Rattus norvegicus: one gene and its partners. The protein of the gene in region 3 binds, or shares a complex with, the protein of the main gene of each other region. Links are inferred from orthologs where the notes say so. Each region holds a gene or a part of one and is shown on either strand. Other genes may lie near its edges.

The links. The genes of interacting proteins can lie anywhere in the genome.
Region 1: the proteins of Ube2e2 (region 3) and Det1 are in contact, whole or in part, in a cryo-EM structure (PDB 9BJZ), measured with the Homo sapiens proteins. The link is inferred for Rattus norvegicus from reciprocal best matches to the Homo sapiens genes UBE2E2 and DET1. Residues at the interface, in NP_001357154.1 of Homo sapiens: Ala77, Gly78, Pro79, Lys80, Gly81, Arg88, Ser89, Thr90, Gly101, Val103, Phe105, Phe123, Arg124, Thr125, Arg126, Ser134, Gln135, Gly136, Gln194, Trp195, Arg198, Tyr199, Ala200, Thr201; in NP_001137546.1 of Homo sapiens: Arg258, Phe259, Tyr261, Asp264, Thr267, Val268, Phe272, Glu274, Asp289, Pro290, Phe291, Ile292, His297, Arg298, Leu300, Val301, Trp304, Arg305, Phe319, Phe320, Gln321, Phe323, Asp324, Arg327.
Region 2: the proteins of Ube2e2 (region 3) and Rlim are in contact, whole or in part, in a crystal structure (PDB 6W9A), measured with the Homo sapiens proteins. The link is inferred for Rattus norvegicus from reciprocal best matches to the Homo sapiens genes UBE2E2 and RLIM. Residues at the interface, in NP_001357154.1 of Homo sapiens: Lys52, Thr55, Lys58, Arg59, Lys62, Pro112, Asp113, Pro115, Phe116, Ile142, Asn146, Trp147, Ser148, Pro149, Ala150, Leu151, Thr152; in NP_057204.2 of Homo sapiens: Ser571, Val572, Cys573, Ile574, Thr575, Cys596, Arg599, Trp600, Pro608, Ile609, Arg611.

What each region holds. Positions count from the first base shown.
Region 1 is NC_086019.1:142,163,786-142,171,211, forward strand, and holds part of Det1 (DET1 homolog), read right to left. Parts: intron 4,571-7,426; coding exon 4,383-4,570; intron 3,771-4,382; coding exon of another isoform or gene 3,713-3,770; exon of another isoform or gene 3,705-3,712; intron 1-3,704. UniProt on the Homo sapiens protein: Component of the E3 ubiquitin ligase DCX DET1-COP1 complex, which is required for ubiquitination and subsequent degradation of target proteins. The complex is involved in JUN ubiquitination and degradation.
Region 2 is NC_086039.1:73,055,247-73,062,370, reverse strand, and holds part of Rlim (E3 ubiquitin-protein ligase RLIM), read left to right. Parts: intron 1-4,341; 5' UTR 4,342-4,364; coding exon 4,365-4,530; intron 4,531-5,301; coding exon 5,302-5,385; intron 5,386-6,601; coding exon 6,602-7,124. UniProt on the Homo sapiens protein: E3 ubiquitin-protein ligase.
Region 3 is NC_086033.1:9,625,872-9,633,297, reverse strand, and holds part of Ube2e2 (ubiquitin-conjugating enzyme E2 E2), read right to left. Parts: intron 2,029-7,426; coding exon 1,896-2,028; intron 1-1,895.

The DNA.
Region 1 (7,426 bases), on a different chromosome or scaffold from region 3:
AAGTGACCATCTCATGTTCCAGACATCCTCTCCTATCTCTCCAACATTTTCCCTCCATCTCACACACCCATTACATCCGCTGTCTTCTTTAGGCATCTTAGAAGTCAGTCAGTCATGAACCAGCTCTGCCAACTGCATGCTCAACAACCTTCAACCCTGCCCTACAGCAGGGCTCTAGTGCAGTTCAGCTCTCCTGACTCTACGCCTGTGCGGCTGGGGAAGTGAACAGTAATGCTCACTCTGACCTCATGGCCGCACAGCCACATAGGCTCTCAATGTGGGAGGATACTCTTCTGAACTTCCACAGTCCAGTCTGCCTCCCACTCTCTTCCATAGCTACTCATCTTTTCCTAGTTCGTCACTGACAAACACAGGAAAGCGCAAGAGGACCTTTTAAAGTCCCCACAGAGCATCTGCTCCTGCATGGCACTCCAATCTCTCTATTTGGGTGGCAGATCTCATCCCCTCCCACCCACTAGGCAGGATCCTCTCCAGGATCAGTCCCATCAACACACAAACATGCCATTATTACTTCTCAGTTTAAAACAAAAAAATAAAATTATCTGGTTTAGTGACATGGGTCTGTAATCTCTGCTATTTGGGACACTGAGAATCTTCAGGACTGAAAATTCAAGAACAAGACTAGACAAGCCTGGGCAATTTGGTGAAACCTCCTTAAAATAAAAGTATAAAAAGATGGCTGGGGATATAGCTCGGCAACACAGCACTTGCCAAACATACCAGAGGCCCCCAGGGTCAGTCCTCAGTGGAGGGGGAGGGGGAGGAAGGAAGGGGGGGGGGAGAGAGAGAGAGAGAGAGAGAGAGAGAGAGAGAGAACACCCCACTATCATCCAACACTCCTCTGTACTACCTGAAGTTGTAGGACAGCCAGTCATTTGTGTCTCTGCACCTATCTCTGACTTCTGTTCCTTGCTCACTCCAATCCAGCCACCATTAGTGTCCTTCAAAGACCTCAGTGGCTTTGGGCTTGCTATTGCTTCTGCTGATGTCATCTGTCTTTTTGATTAACTCTGGGTTAGTTCCTGGTCTCCTTCAATAGCTCTGCTTAGGTATCATTGACACCCCTACCACAACAGCAGTGGTGATACACTCAGACCCACCAGATGCCACCCCAGCTCCGCCTTTTCCTGTAACAGTTCCTTCCTGGATCCTTCACTTTCCCATACCCTTCAGGTCTGACCTGTGACCTGCGACCCTGTAGCTTCCGGTACAGCACCTTCAGAACTCTGACTCTCCCTGTTGCCCAAAACCCATTTCTTCTTCTTTTTTTTTTTTTTTTCTTTTTTCTTTTTTTTCGGAGCTGGGGACCAAACCCAGGGCCTTGCGCTTGCTAGGCAAGCGCTCTACCACTGAGCTAAATCCCCAGCCCCCCAAAACCCATTTCTTGTGGTCTACTGATGACATGTTTTCCAAAGGTTTCCTCAGAAAGACACATAGAAGGTGATTTTATTGTTTTGTCTCACAGATGTGAAAATATCTGTGTTCTATTCTATTAGAATATAGGATTCTAAATGAGAATCATCCTTTTCACCAGGCACAGTAATCTGTAGTTCCAGCATTCGGGAACCCAAGGCAGAAGAACTAAGTTCAAGACCAGCCTGGACTCTCAGAGAGGAAGAGGGAGGGAGAGGGAGAGACGGGGGGTGGGGGGGACGGGAGTGTGTGTGTGTGTGTGTGTGTGTGTGTGTGTGTGTGTGTGTGTGTGTGTCAGTCACTGTTGGGTGACTCTACAGGTGGAGACAGGTTTGAACCTGAGTCGTGTGACTGCCAGACAAGTACTGAATGTACTAAACTACATTCCCAAGCCTTGAAATCATCCTTTTCACAAAATTGTGAAGGCAAGTTCTTCACATCTTAAGTGCTTAGCATTGTCACTGACCAATCTGATGCCATTCTAGTAAGAGTTTTGCATGTGACATGTAAGTCCTTGCTCCAAGTGTTTGTAATTTACCTTTAGCTCCAGTGTTTCAATGCCTCCAGTGGGCCCTTCCTCACTGACTATACTAAGTACCAGAATACTGGTAACATGGGTGATCTTTCTTGGCAGGGGAAGGGGCATCATTTGTAGCATTTGCCAATTTCTGTGCTGCCTGCTGTGGCCAATTTCATGGCACCACCATGACATCATCAAACACAGTTGGAGAGGATCCATAGCGCTGCACGACGCAGCCCCCACCATCAGATAACATAGTCTCAGAAACATGGATCATGTCAAGGGACTAGCTACAGCTTAGGAATGGCTATGTTTAACAATCCACTGGCCGCATGTTGGTTCCAATAGTCGTGGATGATCTAGCTTTCAGGATTAGGAAGTACTCATATTGTTTCTACCTCTTTGGTCCTCGATTTCTTTCTTAGGAACATCAGGTACAGAACTCAATTTTCCTTTAACTCTTCCTTTCCCATTTCCCTATGCCCTCCCTCACTCCCCCTTTCCCCTTGGAGAGTTCAACCGCTAATCTAACAACTGTAGGTCTCCTAGAGCATTGGCATTAGGACTACCCTTGCTTACATCTCCCGGTGTCGCAGTGGCCACAATTCTGCCTCTTCCTTTCCTAGTCTTTTTTTTTTGGGGGGGGGGGGGTGATGGGGGATGGGGACGGGGATTCTCTTAGGATAAATGAATTTCTTACATGATTCAGGTCTTAGGAGTCCATTGTGTCTGTTTGCACGCTTTGTGCTAACCCATGACCTACATGTTTATTTGCTTTTTTTGCTTTTCTACATAAAGATTACTAGAGAACATTTACCACACAATTTTGCATTAGGAGCCATGTATTCACAAGAAACAAAAAAATAATTTCAATTCCCATGTACATTATATTTTCAGTACAGTAAACTACGACCGTGGAGCTTACAGAATCTACTCAAGATAGTGGCAGCGGGTAAGATGTACAAGGACATTTATAATGTCTCAGTCTTAGGTGGCATGAAAAACATCTAAACTCATTAAGTGAGCTTACAGCTCCTCTCAGCTCTTTGATCATGTGACTGAGGGTGCCCACTGCACTAGCTAGTTTGGAATTGGGAAGCACAACTGAAGCATTTCCTGTGACCTTGTCTGTAGAGAACTGTTTTAACAGATGACAGATGAAGGAGTGCCCAGCCCACTGTGGGCAGACGACCCTGGACTATATCAAAAGCTAGCTAGCTAGGAATGAGCCAGGGACAAGACAGTAAGTAGCATTCCTCTCTGGTTCTCTGTCAAGTTCCTGCCTCCAAGTTCCTGCCTCGAATTTCTGCCCTGACCTTCTTCAGCGGAGGACTGTGACATGGAAATAGAAACTGGATTAAACCCATTCCTCCCGGGCTACTGTTGGTCACGGTATTTATCAAAGCAACAGAAAGCAAACTAGGACACCTACCTTCTATAACTTGCTAATGAAATGGTTAACTTAAAGTTAATTTTGAAAGAAGACTCTTAGGTTCAAGTTCCAACACTGCTATCAAAAAGGGAGGGAAGTGTTCCACACGTGTGCACCAGGAAGACCGGGGAAGGTGAAGCACACAAGACCAGCCTGGGCTACACAGTGAGACACTGCTTTCAACTGAAAAGAAGAGAATGGTGCTACTAAGGCAGAAGACAGGTGTGTCAGAGAGCGGGCAGGGTAAACGAGTGTCAGAGTCCATCTAGCCCACAACCGTCCCTGTGCACAGGCACGGAGCCGCTGTAGTAAGTTTACCTGTTTGCTCATCTTTCCCAGAAGCAGCAATGCTTGCTCTGACTCATCCGCTCAATGTGGTCTGGCCTATTTGGGGACCAAAAACAGATATTTTCCATACCTCATTAAGGTTAGAGCAATTTAGGTATGAAAGCCAAGGAGGCCTTGCCTGACTACCCGGGGCTTTAGCCCAAAGGAGCTGTTCCTTTCGTGCTGATATACTAAGAAGGCTCTTAGATGCCATGGACTTCCTACTTCCAAAACCATCTACAGTTCTGGCTTGTCTTGTTCTTAAGGGCCACCCCCCTATGTCTCCCTAGACTTTTAGAGGGGTTTTCCAATGGAGCAGAGCAAAGTGGATGTGTTCAACACGCCATATTAACCAGAAGTTCTAAAATGATCTCCACCACTCACTCCTCAAATATTTAAGGACTTGACAGTGAACCACTGAGGATAGAACAATAAGCAGACATAGTTTCTGTCTCTCTGCAGCTCACATGTGGTCTAAGAAGGACCCGGAAGATGTACCAACAACCACAGGTCCTCAGAGATGGGAAAACATCAGGATGACAGAGGAGTTGGCTGCAACAGGCAGACCTACCAAGGCCAGATGGGAACACAGTGTCCCGAAGCAAATGGCTACCAGCCTAAGGCCAACCATATGAAGTTAAGCCTGCAGGGCCTGGAGGAACAGCTTACCGGCGCTGAATCTGCCTTGCAAAGTTGTTGCTAGAAGCTGAGCAAGGGAACTGGACTTCACTGTGCAGGGTGGCATTGCGGAAGAGGTCACAGAAGTTCTCAAAGAGCTCCAGAAGTTCATCTGACGTGTTCTCAAAGACGGCAATCACCTCTGTTGTCACCATGTTGTACACCACAAAGAAGGAGGCCTGCAGAAGAAGACAGGCAGCCAATGGGGTGGTCATGCCTAGGTAACTTTCTACTTCACCTGAAACACACGACACCCAACAACCCACTCAGGGACCCCGCCTGGGACTAGATGGGGATGGAGGAACCAGCACTGCTGAGAACCTTGATGCCACAAGGTTTCCCGTGCTACTGCGCCGCTAGGATTACTGAGCTGGCCCGCGTGTATACATAAAAAGGCTTTCAGTCTTTCATTTCAAACTGTACAAATTCAATATTTTTCCTTCCAAGTGTTTATTCGCTACTTGTTCCCCAATCTACCCTAAGATTTTTTTAAAAAAAAAAAAGTTTTTAAAATGCCAGATTTAATTTTCCTTCCTGCTGGGAAAGTGATTTGCAGCCCAGGGCTGCCTGTTGGTAAATGATTTTCTCTTCTATGTGTACAGTTGAAAGTTCAATTTAGGGGCATTTATTTTTCCCTCTTATATTTCTAGCATGCAGAGAGACGCCTTAAGCACATTGTGTGCTAAACCGCCTGGACAAGTTGTATCCACGCAGGGCACTGCGGATGAACAAATGAAAAGTCAGACAGACATTCCCATTTCCTTTCCATAAATGTTCTTTCAGCCAAGAGCTTTTGTAAGGTACATTTGAGATTTCTGCCAATTAGGATGGGGGGGCAGGGACCTGAAAAGCATTCAAATGCCATAGGTGGCAGTCACCATTTTTCCTGAATGGAGGGACCCCTGGGCGACTGGGCCTTTTCCTTGACACCTTGAGTGCTCTGCCTTGCCTAACAGGAAGGAAGCTCTAGGTACCTTGAGGGTTTTTTTGTCACAGTGAACACTACAGTGTGAACTAAATCTGCAAGCTTCCAGCAGGAGTCTAAGATGTCCGGGACTCACGGATTCGCATTTCACCTTCCTTTGATTGAGTTTTAATCTGTTACCCATCTCTGCAGCCATTTGGCCCACCTGTCTCGTAGTAATTAGTCCTCCCCAGAGCTCCTCTTACATGACTTTGCAGTCACCTGGAAATTAAATTTGGCTGCAAATTAAAGTGGCTGGAGACAACCTGAGAACAATACCCATAATATTACCGAGGCTTTGTCTATGGATGTAGTTCTTACTCATTAACCTTATTGGAACTTATCAAATGAAACTGGAAGGGGAGACAAGAGGACAACTGGAGCGTGGAGACTGGTTTCGAGTTTCCAACTCCAGCAGCATGCCCAGTTATAGCTGACTGCAACTACCAGGAAAAAATAGGTCACCTTTTAGCAAAAGAAAAAAAAAGGATAATCTCAGCACTGTGATAACAGACAACTTATTCCTTCCAAAATAGAAAGGTAATTATAGCTGAAACCTAAATAAAAGAGTGACTCATGTCCCATCTATAGACCAGGACACCACTTTGATCATATCAGGGTTTTAACAGGATCTTTCATAATTATGCGAATATAAAATTTCACAAACATTTACCAGCTTTCCCTCTACGGCAGACTGGGAAATTAAGGACAGGAGGGGAGAGAAGTCAAGGCCTCTACCACCTATCTTCCATGACGCAGAAGATGAACTAGATGTTCACCTGTGGTGGCTCAGCAACACCACCCATCATTAACAAGGAAGAAAGAGATTTTTAAAAATATACTCGAGAAAAAAAGAAAAAAAAAAAAAAAAAAAAAACTCCTTGAAAGGGGTTGGGGATTTAGCTCAGTGGTAGAGCGCTTGCCTAGCAAGCGCAAGGCCTTGGGTTCGGTCCCCAGCTCCGAAAAAAAAAAAAAGAAAAAAAAATATATACTCGAGTCTGATCACTTTCCCCTTTTTAGAATACATAAGCTGTGATTATTTTTGGGGGGGTTGCTGTTGGAAGATATTTTACCACAGGTTTGGTAATGTATGTTTCTTATGCATATGTGGTACATGTGTGTATGTGTATGTTGTGTGTGTACTTTATGTGCCAAACCTGGCTGGCACATGGTCTTCCAGCACTGTCTGTCGCAGTCATTAAGTCACTAAGGTAAGTGTCTTTCCCCTGAAGCCACGGCTTGCTGGTGAGTCAGCTCACTCTTGGGATTGTCTCCTTCTCCTGCACTCTGGAATTACAGAAGGCCACCACACCCATCTGGCATTTACAATGGTTCTGGGAATCCAAACTCCCCTCATGCTTGCAAGAAAGATGCCTAAACCACTCGGTCAACCCCCAACACTGTCTAGAATCCCTTAAAGGCAGAGTCAGCTGACTTCCTAGATTACTATCTGCCTCACTGCTGTTTCTAAAGCAGGAGGATTGACTGGGGGCAAGCAAGGTACAGAAAGGTGGGCCTCTTACTCAGACCACACTTAGTGCAGAGCTTTCAAAGATTCCCAGAAGGTATCTGAACTCAGCTCGGGTCTGTCTGTCTGTCCCTCTTGTCACCACTTATCCTCCTTTAACTTTTTAAGTCAAGGTCTCATAACACAGTCAGGTCTGGAACTCACTGCCCTCAAATCCAAGCTCTCTTTGCCTCCAGTCCCACTGCTGGGATTGTCGGCATTATGGAAGTATGCCTACCATCATACCTAGAGTCCTCAGTGCCAGGGACTCTGAGCCTCATATCCTGAATAAGCTCTCTACCACCCGTCCCTGAGGACTTCCATTTTTGCATGGAGGGCTCATTCTTGCTGCCAGAACCTTTTTGGTTCAATAATCAGTCTTACAAAGTTTAGGAAGGATTATAAATGTGTGGTCCAAACCCCGGCCTTACAGCATTTGGGCTCCTGTATGACAGGTACTGAGAATGTCCTGAGGAATGACTGAGATCATAACCACATGGCAGTGGCTTGACGCTGACCCTCCTCCATTGGCCAATTTCAATATGTGATGCCAGACAAAAAGGA
Region 2 (7,124 bases), on a different chromosome or scaffold from region 3:
TCCTTGTCCCCAAAGTAACTATATACAACAAATTTTTCTGATGGAAGCCATTGCCTTAGCAAACACTTCTATTTAGCAAGGCCTTGCTAGTTTGCTTGCAGTTTTGGAATAAGAAGCATTTTGAAGAAATAATATGTATCTGTGAGTGTAGAGGGAATATAGAACTGTGTCATTATGGAAGTAAAAGGATTTTGGAGCTGGTCTCAATGACATTTTAGTTCAGAGGGTCTTTTGAAGTCAGTCTACTTTTGTTCAACAGATTTCAGTAGTTTGCTTGCTTTACGGTGCTGATTACATCTCCATTTGGGGACATTTGTTATGCCTTTGTATTGAAAGGAAGAATTATTGGCTTTCCTGTTCTTGTCAATTCTTGGCTCTAGTTTGACACTGGTTGTATTCTCCTTTGCATAATACCCTCTTCTATTTGTTTCTTCCTTCTTCCCCTATCCTTTTTTTCAAAATAGGGTCTCACATAGTTCCTAGCTAGACTACAACTCACCATGTAGACCAGACTGGCCTTGAATTCACATAGATCCATCTGCCTCTGTCTCTGCCTCCTGAGTGCTGGGATTAAAGATGTGCATTACCATGCCTTGCCTTTCTCTTTGTTTTTGCTGTACTTTATCTAGCCTTATTACCTTTGATATAGGGGTTTTTTCTTTGTATTTTAGCCCATTCTCATTGTCACCTGTACTATTCTGGCTGGCCTATGTAAACCAGGCTGGCCTCAAAGTCAGAGATTCATGTGCCTCTGCCTCTTGAGTGCTTAGATTATATGTGTGTGCTAACCCACTGAGTTTAAATACTGTTTTTTAAATTTCCATTTTTAAAAAGTCTTCTGCTTCTAGGTTTAATCTCCTTGATGCTATTAAGACTGTGCCAGTGTTGTTGGCATGTGAGTTTTATCTTAGGTTCATGTTCTTCAAATGTCAGAATTTATCAGATGTTTTTGCCTTCTTTGGAAAATTTATATTTTTAAAACCCGTTCAACTGGCAGATATCTGAAATTATTTACTGATTTTTTTCACAAGTAGATTTCTTCCTCACTTTACTGCCTGGAATGTTGATGGCTTTAAGAATGTTAATTAAACATTAGTGGTGGTTTTCTTTAGGACATTATGGCTTGAGGATTCTGTTTTCTTTCCCATTGTGTTTTCTGTTTTAAAAAAGCAGCTGCTGCTACCATTACCAATACCAGTTTGTGTTACTTGTAAGGAAAATGGCAGCTTGTGTTGTTTTTTTACATTTGTTTATACTTCTTGGCCCATGTTCTTTTATGACTGTTCACTCTAATTTCTGGCCCTTCCATAGTGGCAAGTTATTAAAACACTTGCCAGAAATTTCTATAAAAATTAAAGAAACTTTGTAATGAGCTAGGAAACTGGAAATACTGTGGCCCTACCCTCTACCTCCTTGGCCATGTTCATCTTATTGACTTAAACAGTAAAAGGCTAGTGTAGAGAAGGGTGATGTAAGGGAAGCAATGCAAGTCGGAGTGGGACTATTTCTAGACTATTTAGTAAGTGGGCAACATGTGATAAGGCCTCTTTATGCTTTCTTGTAAAATCTAGAATAGGATTTGGATTTTATTTTTTAGAGACAGTCCTTGTATCTTGATTTGGCTTTGAACTCTTGCCTTGGACTTGCAAGTATGAGGATTATAAATGTGAGCTACTATACTGAGGAGGTTTTGTTTCTCCCTTTAGGACTGATTTATGAAGATACTGGTACATGTATGTGGGGGGGAGGAATAAATTATAGTTCTCTCTACCACAAATTTATTTTCATACTATCATTGTTGGTTTGGGCTACTATAATAAATAGAATGGCCTAAGCTGTTATAAACAGCAGAAGCTTAGAGAGTTCATGAAACTGAGTAGTCAGAATCAAGGCCTGGGCAGCTTGATGTTTGAGGGTTGACTTCATGGTTCTCACTGTATTCTCATTGAAGAAAATGTCAAGGTAGCTCCAAAGGTTTCTCCAAGAAGATCACGCTAATCCTTACTTCCTAATGCTATAGCTTTGACGGTTAGGATTTCAGCATGGGAACTTGAGGTGAAAGAGAACACAAAGTTCCAGAAAGGTTCCCCCCCCACACACACACCCACCATTTTTTCCTTGCCTTTTTTTCTGTTTTTGTTGCTATTTAATTTTGGTTTTGGTTCTTGTTTTAGGATGAGGTATTACTGTGTTTCCCAGGCCAGCCAGGAATTCAAAATCCTCTGTTCTCAGAGCCAGGCGTGGTAGCTCATACTTTTTCTACAGTACTTGGATCATGGAGTCAGGGATCCAAAGTTTGAGGTCAGCCTGTGCTACATGAAACCATACCTTAAACAAATATCCAAACATCTTTTGTCCTCAGTCTACTGAGTATCTGAGATTACAAGCTTGTGCTGCTGTGATTGGCCTGATAGTTATTGCTGATCAATGTCAATGTGTAATAATAATAATAGTTGATTACACTGCCACCTAATTAATACAAGTCAACCAGTCAGAAGAAGGTCATTCTTTTTAGGGAACAATGTTCTCAAGTCTAAAGTCAATATATCTTAGTGACCACTTGCACTGTTTGTCCACTGTGGATGACTTGAAATGAGATTTTTTTTATACATGTCTTCATTTTTGTGTCATTCATAAATTTTGGGCAGGGATTGTACATGTTACATCTTTGAAAATGCCTTTTCACGTGCACGTACCAGGCTCTTTAGTAATCCATAGACATGATTTTAATGGTGCGTGTGCATCTCTTAGAGATTCAATTCCCAAGTATAGCTTTTAGGGTATCATTAGAATGAGCTGCTATTTCCCCTTCAAGGCTATATGTATGGGTGTTTTGTATGGGTTTATTTTTTGCCTGCATGTATGCATGTGCACCAAATGATTGATTAGTACTTCTAGAAGCCAAGAAGAGTGTCAAATCCCCTAGAGATGGAGTTACAGATGGCTGTGAGCTATCATGTTAGTAATTACGGAGCCAGTGCTCTTTGTTTGGACTAGGGGCATGGTTTGAGACATGACATAGCTTTAGCTATCCTATCTTAAAATTCACTCTGTAGACCAGTCTGACTTTGAACTCCCAAAGATCTGCCTGCCTCTGCCTCTGATTGCTGAGATTTAAGGGAATATGCCATCACTGGCTGGCTGGAGCCAGTGTCCTTAACCACCGAGCCATTCTCCCAGCAATGAAGTTTAAAATGAGGAAATTTCACTTTTCGTTTTTGGAAGTGTAGTTGGAGCTCAGAGATCTGCTAACTGCTAACATCAAAGGAATAGAGTTCTCCTGTCTTTGATAGCCTATTGTACCAGTGTTCCTACCAAGTTTTGCATGTACTGCTTGTCCTCTTATTCATTAAGAAACATTATGAAGTTATAGCCAAACCTAATTCCTCAAGGCATTTATATTTTGAAGGTAATTGAAGTTGTTCTCATTAAGAAAAAAAAAAAGATCTTGACCCAAGTTCTACTAATCACAGTAAACTCTAACCAAGTTAAGCCTGTGGCTCAAATGAAGCAGGTGGATTGCCATGAGTTCAGGTCCAGCATAGTGAAACCCTCTCTTCAAAAGAGCTTGGTGGATTTCTGACAGAATCCCAGCACTCAGAAGGCAGACCTCTGAGTCTGAGGCCAAACTGGCCTACAGAGTGAATTATAGGCCTGCCAAGGCCACATAGTGAAATCCTGTCTCAAAAAAAAGTTTTTAACAAAAACAAATCCATACAACTAAAGATGATTAAAGCCACAAGAATGAGGTTTATATTGACAGTGCTGGTTCATTAACATGATGGTTCATATTTTTTCTAAGTATTTGTTGAACAAAATAAAATGAGTGAACAGAGGCTTAAACATCTTAAGTTTTGATAAAATTAAATAGTCCAACCAGGTTTTTTCCTACTCCATATATTTTTACCATTTTAAAACACCTCTAATCCTCCCATTCAGAAAGCTAAGCCAGGAAGATTGTGTTTGAGTTGACTGGACCACACAGATTTCCCTGGCTCAAATAACTATGAAAACCTGGAGCTGGATGTGTATCTTCATGGTGGAATGCATGCAGCGAAGGCCCTAGGTTCAGTTCTTACCATGTCAATGTAAAAAGCCATTTTTAGATTACAAGGAAGATAAAAGTAGGCCACATTGTTGAATTAGGCCCAAGCACTACAGTTTGCTAACTCTCTGACCTAGACTTCTAGTATACCAGTGTTTTCCCAATGTTTTTCTATTCTATTCCATTTACTTGTTTTTCTTAAAATTCACCTCTATGCCTGCATTGTGGTTTCCAAGTAGAGAAAGATCTAGAATACATAAAGGCGTGTGTTTTCAATTCGGTCTCTTTCTTTTTAGATAATTTCCACTTGTTCATCAAGATGGAGAACTCAGACTCTAACGATAAAGGAAGTGACCAGTCTGCAGCTCAGCGCAGAAGCCAGATGGATCGATTGGATAGGGAAGAGGCTTTCTATCAGTTTGTAAATAATCTCAGTGAAGAAGATTATAGACTTATGAGAGACAACAATTTGCTGGGCACCCCAGGTAAGCTACATGTAATTTATATATGTAAGTTGCTGGGTTTTTAAGAAAATTGTTTTATAATGTTTCTTTAGTTAACGAAAAATTACTAATGCAGGAGATGCCAAATGGCATTTACTACTATATTTATTGTCTGATTTTATTCTTTTATAATTAGAATAGTCTTGTCAGATATGCTTGTAAGTTTTGAGTTATAAGTCTTTAGTGAAATGGATTAAATAAGAATCGAGCTGGACAGTTTAGCTAGTTATGCATGCAGGTACAAAATAACCAATGGGCCTTTGGTTTCTAGGATAGACTCATCTTATTTTGTCATCTCATCCTTCTCTCTGAATATGTCCCAACTGCAACCCTACAGAGTTAGCTGTGGGTAAACCAACTGCTGGAACTTGTCCTTAGTTATTCTTTCACTGAGATACAATCTCCTCTGATCTTAGTTACAACTCAAGTCTGTTTCCACTAACCTGCAGACAATTTCATTCAGTTCAAATGGAAGGTTTTAGCAAGGTGGAACATTTTGAGCTAATAGTACTAAACTTTAATTAGAATATCTTAACTGCAATTACGGCCCAGATGTTACTTGGTGTGCTTTTTGGCAAAACTTAAAGTGCAGAGCACAAAGCCCGACATGACATGGTGGCATGTGCCTATAATCCCAGCTGCACAGGAGGCTGAGACAGGAGGTCCTTGAGTTTGAGGTCATCTTGGATGGAAAAAATACAGAAACTGACTTGCTGTTCATTTGTAATTTGGCAAAAATTGTTCAACTTTCAGGCGAAAGTACTGAGGAAGAGTTGCTCAGAAGACTACAGCAAATTAAAGAGGGTCCACCACCACAGAGCTCTGATGAAAATAGAGGTACATTTTGTTTGGGGAGGTGGATAGAGGTTGGAAAGATAGGAACTTTCCAATAGGGAATATCAACCAAAGATTATCCAGAAATTCCACAAATTAATCTGGTGCTAAGTACTCATAGAAAGAGAAGTGACATGTTCTTGATATTTGGGGAGTGCTGTGGCTGCCTCAGCTTTGGATTGTGTTAATTGGGCAACAGTGAAAAGTCGTCTATTTAAGTTGAGATTTTCCTCCTCTTGGTTTTCCACATCTATTAAAATGTTCTCCTACTCATTTCCTTATATATAAGCATGGCTTTATCAGCAAAAGGAAATGCTGCTTCGTTGGCCTAGCACCTTTCATTAGTTGTTTGTTCCTCTTTGGGAGGGGCATTAGCAATGACTGGAGGCATGTTTGGTTGGCCCAGCTAATAAGAGTCTGCTGTTACAGGCAGGGAGCAAGTATGCTGGAGAATGGTACTTCTCTCTCTGCAGGAAATAAGCCTATAACCTAGGAGCTGTGATAGACGTTTAATTTGTGAACATACTGTTAGTTATTGCTGTTACTCTAGGTTCAGACTGTTCATTTGATAATAGTCTTTAGTTTTATGAAAGTTGAAAATCTTGATAATTGACAAATATTCAAGTAAATATAAACTGTTAGCCTTGTTTATATTTTTGCTCGGGCTATAAACATTTTAAAACAACTTCATGGTTATCAAAGGCAGTTAAGCCCTAGATGAAGTAATAGAGACTGATGAAATTTTGGTAGAAAATCCCAGTGCTAGCTGTCCCTGACTAGTGATGTTGTAGTTGATTTTGTTTAGATGGTGGCTTGGAAAATCCATGTTGCCTTCCCACAGTCTCACAGCATCTTCTAGAGCAGTGGTTCTCAGCCTTCCCAGTGATGACCCTTTAATACAGTTAGTTTCTCATGTTGTGGTGTCCCCCAATCATGAAATTATTTCATTGCTACTTCGTAGCTGTAATTTGCTACTGTTATGCGTCATAATGTAAATCTGCAGATGATCTTAGGTGACCCCTATGAAAGGGTTGTTTGAGTCCCCCAAAGGGGGTTGAGAATTGCTGAGTCTTAAGTGTCTTAGCTTTCTCTTTTCAATGTAAATTTGTAACATTTGTTCAGAATTGCAAAGTTCTTTAATGTTGTTTATGAGTGTTATGTTTCATGATTGTCCTAATTTTGTAGTTCCTTTCTCTCTCCCCCTCTTTGTTTTAAACAGCTGGAGAGTCTTCAGATGATGTGTCCAACAGTGATTCTATAATAGATTGGCTTAATTCTGTCAGACAAAGTGGAAATACAACAAGAAGTGGTCAGAGAGGAAACCAGTCCTGGAGGGCAGTGAGCCGGACTAATCCAAACAGCGGTGATTTCAGATTCAGTTTAGAGATAAATGTTAACCGTAATAATGGAAGCCAAACCTCAGAGAATGAAAATGAACCATCCACTAGGCGTCTTAGTGTAGAAAGCATGGAAAGCAGCAGCCAAAGGCAAATGGAAAGTCATGCATCTGAATCAACATCTGCCAGACCATCTAGAGCAGAACGCAATTCAACTGAAGCATTAGAAGTGCCATTGACCAGGGGTCAGAGGAGGGCAAGAAGCCGGAGCCCAGAACATCGGAGAACCAGAGCAAGAGCTGAAAGAAGTAGGTCACCTCTGCATCCAACAATTGAAATTCCACGAAGAGCTCACCATAATATCTCACCTCAGACCTTGGAGCAGCCTTTGGAAAATGAGCCTGA
Region 3 (7,426 bases):
ACTTCTGGGAAACCCTGCCGAGGTGAATCTGAGCTCCCACCTCTACAGAGGGCAGCCAGTAAGGCTAGGACACGCCGCCTCCCCAGAAGTCAGTAATGAGGAAGGCTTGTGACTCACCACCTCCTCCATTCCAAAGGTCAACAGAATTCCTACAGTGACGAGCTCAATTAAAACACTCCTAAAATGTCCCATTAAAGAACCCCAGGTTTGTAGCCCATGAATTCTATCTATATGAGGATAAAGGAGGTCTTCCCTTTCTATCTTCATACTCGTCCCCATTCTCATACTTAGACATGGCCAACGCCATGACTGTAGTTTTATTTTAGTTTTATGCACATAGGTATTTTGCCTGGATGCATGTCTGTGCAGCTCATGCAGGCAGTGCCATGGAGCACACAAGAGCACGCTGGATGCCCAGGAACGGATTGCAGACAGTTGTTAGCTCCCTGTAGGTGCTGGGTATTGAACCTGGGTCTTCTGGAAGGGCGGGCTCTTAGACACTGAGCCATCTCTCTAGCCCCCACATCTTGCAGTTTCAAATATCCTTCACTGTCTCAAGGCCTCTTCAAACAAGATTCTTTTACCTAACATAGCACTTCTCACTTGCAGCTTTACGCAATTTAAAGCTCACTGTCAGTGTGCACACCTGAGACGCCTACTCCACTAAACAGGTCACACGCGGCTCCTGAGAGGTAGATGGCTGGCTACATCTGCTCTTTCACTCTGACCCTGACTTGCAGAGACTGCCAGAGAACGTCCCACGTGTCCCCGCAGGTGGCTTACAAGCCATTCCAAAGTACAGTGGAAGGACAGACAAACGGCTCCTGTGCACTCAGACGGTAAACAATTTCTCTGTGGCTGCATGCGTAAGTGCACTGTACAATGTGGTAAGGAACAAGGTTTGGGGTTGACTGTCTCAGCTCAGATCTGGACGCCCTGACTGGCAGCTCCCTGCACAGTGCAGGCAAGATGCTGGAGTTACTCTTTTTTGGCATCAAAATGCTCTCTGGGCATCGGTGAAAAGGAAGGAAGAAAGCCAAGCAAGAAAAGCGATGTAGGGGAAGCATGGAAAGTGTGACGGCCCACCTACAACCATGCCTGTGTCAGGTGCACAGACTACCCTGGTGACTAGCAGGCACAGCCAGTGAGCCCAGGGTCTTTCCTCTGCCAGAATGCTGCCTAAGTTCTAATAGCCTGAGGCAGCGGAGATCAATGAGAAGATATTCTAAAGTACACAACCTTATCTTAATAGTAGGAAGTCCCATGACTTGACTACACTGTACTCTTTCTTGACTTGTGTTAGGCATTAAAGAAATTCTATTTCATCAATATGTTATATTAATGGGCCATTACTAGAAAATACATATATATGTATACACACAGATTTTGGCATTAGGGATTAAACCCAGGATCTTACCAACAACTTATGCTCTCAGCCCTCAAAATATTTCCAAATGTATTACCAAGATATCACCACAGTTTCTCTGGCTTCAGGCGAGCACCTGGACCGAGGCAGCAGCACAGACACGTGTGGTTACCCTCTCTGTGAAGCCTCCTTTCCCCACAGTCTGCCTTTGCAGCCTGACCCTGGAGTAATTCCACTTTCCTATTTACACAGACATGGTGAAAACATGGTATTCTCTATAATATTATTCTGTAATATTACTTGTATATGCAGAAAAGAGATAATGAGAAAGAGCAATGAAACCCATGTAAAGTTAAGATAGAGGAACGACGTACGGTTTCTCACGTCTCGTTTCCTTTTAAGCACAGTGGGTACGGGGAAGCAGCCTACGCCAACAGAGCAGATGTGCATATATATAGATATATACATATGTTCAGTATATACATATCACAACACAGAATGTTAAAAACGGGCAATGCATCATACTGACCTTAGGGGGTTTAAACGGATAGTCTGGTGAAAAGGTAATGTCAAGAAAGAACACCCCTCCTTCATAGACAGATCCTGGGGGTCCCAATATAGTTGACCTCCATTCATAAATGTTGTCTCCTTTGGGTCCAGCACTGAAATAAGACACACAAATGAGATGTGCTTAGAAATTACATAAAGTTTGGAATTAAAAAAATATATGGTAATAATAAATTGAGCCATTTCATAAAACATAATAAAGTCAACACATTAATTTTATCTATCATATTGTTCCTGTCAACATCATCATCCTATAAATACAACATGCTGGTATTATGTAATCCAGCAGATCCGAAGGTCCTGCTCGCAACCCAAACGCTATGGAAGACGTCTCCGAGGACACTGGCCTTGCCTGAATGTGGGATTATGTGTGAAGACCTGAGAGGGGTGACACAGCTCTGGGTCAATAGCAGAGAATTTCCAAGTGAGAAAGGGTAATGCAAAGTGGCTGGCCCAAACCCTCTAAGCACTGAGAGCACAGACTGTCCCTGACAGACACCAGGGAACAGCCACCATTCTGAAGACCCAGCCATTTGGAACCTCTTCCCCCTACTACCCCATATCCTAGATAAGACATGTTATTTTATGATTGTATTTTATAACTTCTTCTCTGTTCCTCCCTAGAATAAACATTTCTTGAGGAATAGATTTTAGCTACTAACTAACTACACATTTGTTGGCAATGACAGGCTAATGGCTGGGCAGGTCATATGACTGTGAATGGCCAACATACACCCATGTCTCCAGCAAATTCACTAAGAAGAATAAAGCCGAGTGTGAATGGTGCTAATTCTTCCCAGTGAGCATCAGGGCCACAGTATGACTTTAATTTAGCTCTTGGCACTGGGGGCCTAGCTCAGTGGTACAGGGTTTGCTCAGTGTTTCTGATCTTTAAAGCTCCTCATGGGCAGGGGAAACCCAAAATAACTGGAGGTTTCCCAGGGTTCTTTTTGTTTTATCAGGTTATTAACTATGATGATATCCTAACAGAGTGGACAACATCATGAATGCTTGGGAAAGAGTTTACTCAAAAGTCACTGTAACAAAATTGATCATAACCAAGATAAGACTACACAATGATACCATTTTAAATGTAACTCGCCTCACTAAGCAATCAAAGTAGAAGGGAAAAAGTTATCCTCACAGGTTACAGAAGGCTTTCTGCCCTTTCTCCCTCCACTTTTCTTCTTCCAGAATCCCTTCCCTTCTCTTCCATGCAAAAGTAAAACCTTTACAGTATCTATAAACTGAGAAATGATATTTAGACCATGGAAAGCTGACCAAATCTTAGGGCCCAATCATAAATTCATATCAATCAACAGGGAAAAGATTAATAATCCATCAGAAAGACACCAGCAGACATTTCTAAAAGGTAGAAATAAAATTTAAAATATTTAGTTTCATCAAAATCGGGAAAATAACAATTCAACTGGTAAATATAAATGCGTAACAAGCAAAATGGAGTGGTGCACGGTGAGTCCGACGTCTACACACTGCAGATAAACACGCTCAAATGTGCTGGAGCACAGCGCTCTTCAGTCGGGAAGGAGGGAAAGTCTGGGCTTTGTAGCATCTTGGGTGGACCTGGAAGGTGCTGAGCTCAGCAAAGTCAGGTCTAGAACAACAAGTGCTGTGTGATCTCACAGTGTTAAGTAAAGCACTGGTCTCAGAGGGAGAGTGAAACAGTGGCTTTGAGTAGGAACAGAGTAGGAAAAGAGGCTGGTTAGTGGGTATGAGCCAGGTAGATAAGGACTTAAATGGACGTGATCCCAGGTAGATAAGGACTTAAATGGACGTGATCTCAGGTAGATAAGACTTAAATGGACGTGATCCTAGAGTAGATAAGGACTTAAATGGATGTGATCCCAGAGTATGTGGCCTGGTGAGATGGCTCAGTTGGTAAAGTTGCCTGCTGTCATACCTAATGTCATGAATTTGGTTTCCCAGGAAGTATACACTGGAGAGAACCCACTCCTGCAATGTGTTCTCTGACCTTCATATGTACACTAGGACATGTATATAAACACACACGTACACATCCATGTACACAAAATAAACACAAATGTAATATGGGAAAAGCATATTAAAAGGGCTATAGAATGCTATGTAAAACGAGCAGTTCTGTGATCTACTGCGTGTTAAAAACTGATCCAGTGTCCTTCCCAGCTGTAAAGTTTATGAACTATAACAATAACCAGCATTGGCAAGATGCCCCCCAAGGGTACAATAGTGGCACTTACATGTCTTAATTAACAGCCATTTAGAGAGACTTAAGGCCGCCTCTGTTGTAGGGAGTTCATGCCTGGTACCATAAACCCAGCCAACTACCCATGGCTGCCGAGATCCCGGACCATGGCTACCACAACGGCAGCCTCCTTAACCAGTGCAGTTCCCAGCTGTATTCTAAACACCGATCCTGATGCCCACAAGTAAGTGTCGCTTTCATCTCTCCCACTGAAGCTTCCTTTTGTAGCAGTTGGAGACAACTGCAGACATCCTCATTTAGTCCTAAGATAGAGAACAACTGCATTTGGAGACAACTGCAGACATCCACATTTAGTCCTAGATAGAGAACAACTGCATTTGGAGACAACTGCAGACATCCACATTTAGTCCTAGATAGAGAACAACTGCATTTGGAGACAACTGCAGACATCCACATTTAGTCCTAGATAGAGAACAACTGCATTTGGAGACAACTGCAGACATCCACATTTAGTCCTAGATAGAGAACAACTGCATTTGGAGACAACTGCAGACATCCACATTTAGTCCTAGATAGAGAACAACTGCATTTGGAGACAACTGCAGACATCCACATTTAGTCCTAGATAGAGAACAACTGCATTTGGAGACAACTGCAGACATCCACATTTAGTCCTAAGGTAGAGAACAACTGCATTTGGAGACAACTGCAGACATCCACATTTAGTCCTAGATAGAGAACAACTGCATTTGGAGACAACTGCAGACATCCACATTTAGTCCTAAGGTAGAGAACAACTGATTTTTGGATGCCCCAATCCAACTGATACACCCATAACACAACCCCTACACTTAAGGCTCAGGAACACCACAGAAAGGGGGATAGAAAGAGGCCCAGGATGCCTGTTGTTAGTAGGGTCTACTACATGAGACAGGGAAGCCACATCCACTAAATATGAAGAAAAATATGGTTGACTAAACAAGAGCTGTACAATGACAACATGAGCTGACACACACATGTGGGTGGGGTAATCTCACAAGGCTCCTGTACTGGCTGGTTTTGTGTGTTAATTTGACACAAGTTGGAGTTACCACAGAGAAAGGAGCCTCCCTTGGGAAAATGACATCCAGCTCTAAGGCATTTTCTAAATTAGTGATCAAGGGGGTTGGGGGAGGAACAAGCCCCTTGTGGGTGGTAGCATTCTTAGGGTGGTGGTCTTGGGTTCTATGAGAAAGCAAGCTGAGCAAGCCAGGGGAAGCAAGTCAGTAAGTAACATCCCTCCATGGCCTCTGCATCAGCTCCTGCTTCCTGCCCTGTGTGATTCCGGTCCTGACTTCCTTTGGTGATGAACAGCAGTGTGGAAGTGTAAGCTGAATAAACCCTTTCCTCCCCAACTCGCTTCTTGGCTATGATGTTTGTGCAGGAATAGAAGCCCTGACGAAGCCAGCACTACCCACTGATGAAGAGCCATGGGCCATCAATGGCTGCTGAGAGGGGGTGTAAGTATTCTCCAGGGATAAGCTCCTTGATAGATCGTCCAATCCCAAGTGGTCAGCCCTAAATATATATACAGAGGGCAACACTGAAAGTTAGCAGGTTTCACACACACACACACACACACACACACACACACACACACACACGAGCACACACTGCAGTAAAGCGGTCATGAATCTGAGAGGGAGGGCGAGGTAGAGGAGATGAAAATGATGTCACATAAGACTCATGTATCGAAATTCTCAAGAACGAAACACTAAACCGACCCAGGCCTCAGGGTGAGCTCATTGGTAGAGCATTCGTCTACTGAGCATGAGGCTTTGTGATCGATTTCCCATACCACTAATAAGTGAATATGTTTTGAGAAGATATGGACTGGAAAGATGTCAATCCATAAGTGACTGTGTGAGAACAGGGGTTAAGTTGGACTTGGGAAGCCGCATCACACAGATCTAGCAGTAAAGATGATGCCCCATTCAGTTTTATTTCATGTATTTGGACTTTGACTCTCTCTCCTTCTCTCCTCTCCTCTCCTCTCCTCTCCTCTCCTCTCCTCTCCTCTCCTCTCCTCTCCTCTCCTCTCCTCTCCTCTCCTCTCCTCTCCTCCCCTCCCCTCCCCTCCCCTCCCCTCCCCTCCCCTCCCCCACCCTCTCTCTCCCTCTCCTATTCTTTCTTTTGTCTTTAGGGTTATTTTTATTTTAGGTGTGTGGTTGGCCTGAATGCAAGTATGTGTGCCACATGTATGCCTGGTCGGTGTGCTGGATCCCCTGGGACAGGAGTTATCGATGGTTGTGAGCTGCTATGGAGGGGCTGGGAAACTAACGCAGGTCCTTTGGAAGAGCAGCAAGTACTCTCAACCCCTGGGATCTTTCTTGATCAACTCCTTCTCTAAAATACAGTAAGTAAAATCGCAGTTCCTAATGCAGTGCAGAGGAATCAAGCACACTGCACGGCAGTGAGACAGTAAGGGACCAGACAGCATTCTGCCCATCCTCCCATCTGGTAGTGAAGCAGAGGCCAGCACCTGCAGCAGCCTCTTGTGCCAACAGAGCACACTCTTCGGATGAATAAGACACACTTACATTCTGGGCTACAATTAAACCCAGTGAAGAGAGAAGTTTATGAGGAGGAAGAGTTTATGGAGAGTAAATTATAAGTTATAGTTACAACATTATCTCAAGGCTGATGGAAAAACTCAGTTAATACACAGCTATGAAACAGTGTGTCAAAGACTTTCAAATGTGAAGTCACTTTGAGAAGGTTTAAGGTGATCTTCCAGGAATGGAAACTTCAGGTAGTTACATACTATAGGGCCAAGTAAGTGGTCACCACACAGTGCCATCCAGAGAGGGACTCTTGCTAAGACAGATACCTTAGCAAGAAGGGCACCCACTGTGGACTATTTAAAATCAATTTCTGCTCATAGAGTTGCATCTGTCTTTCAATCAGAAACCCAGATTTTATTGAAATCAGCTGTCTATACTGCTGAGGTGGATTAAATGAACACAGCTGATATCGTTCTGGGTTGTGTTATCTGACCAAGGTGTATCTTTTAAAGAAATGCTTTGTCAGTAGCAACAAACTGTCTTTATAACAGACAGGGGTTTTCCAAGGCACATGAATTTCATTTGCCTGCTCAACACACAGACCGTGTCTTAGCTGTGTCTTAGCTGTCTGACGCCCTTGCCTCCTCAGAAAGCAGGCCTACACTACTTGCAATTCTATAGTTAGGAAAGTAGCACTCAAGCTACATAGGTCTCTACCTCTCTTCTGCTGGCAACATGCAAGTG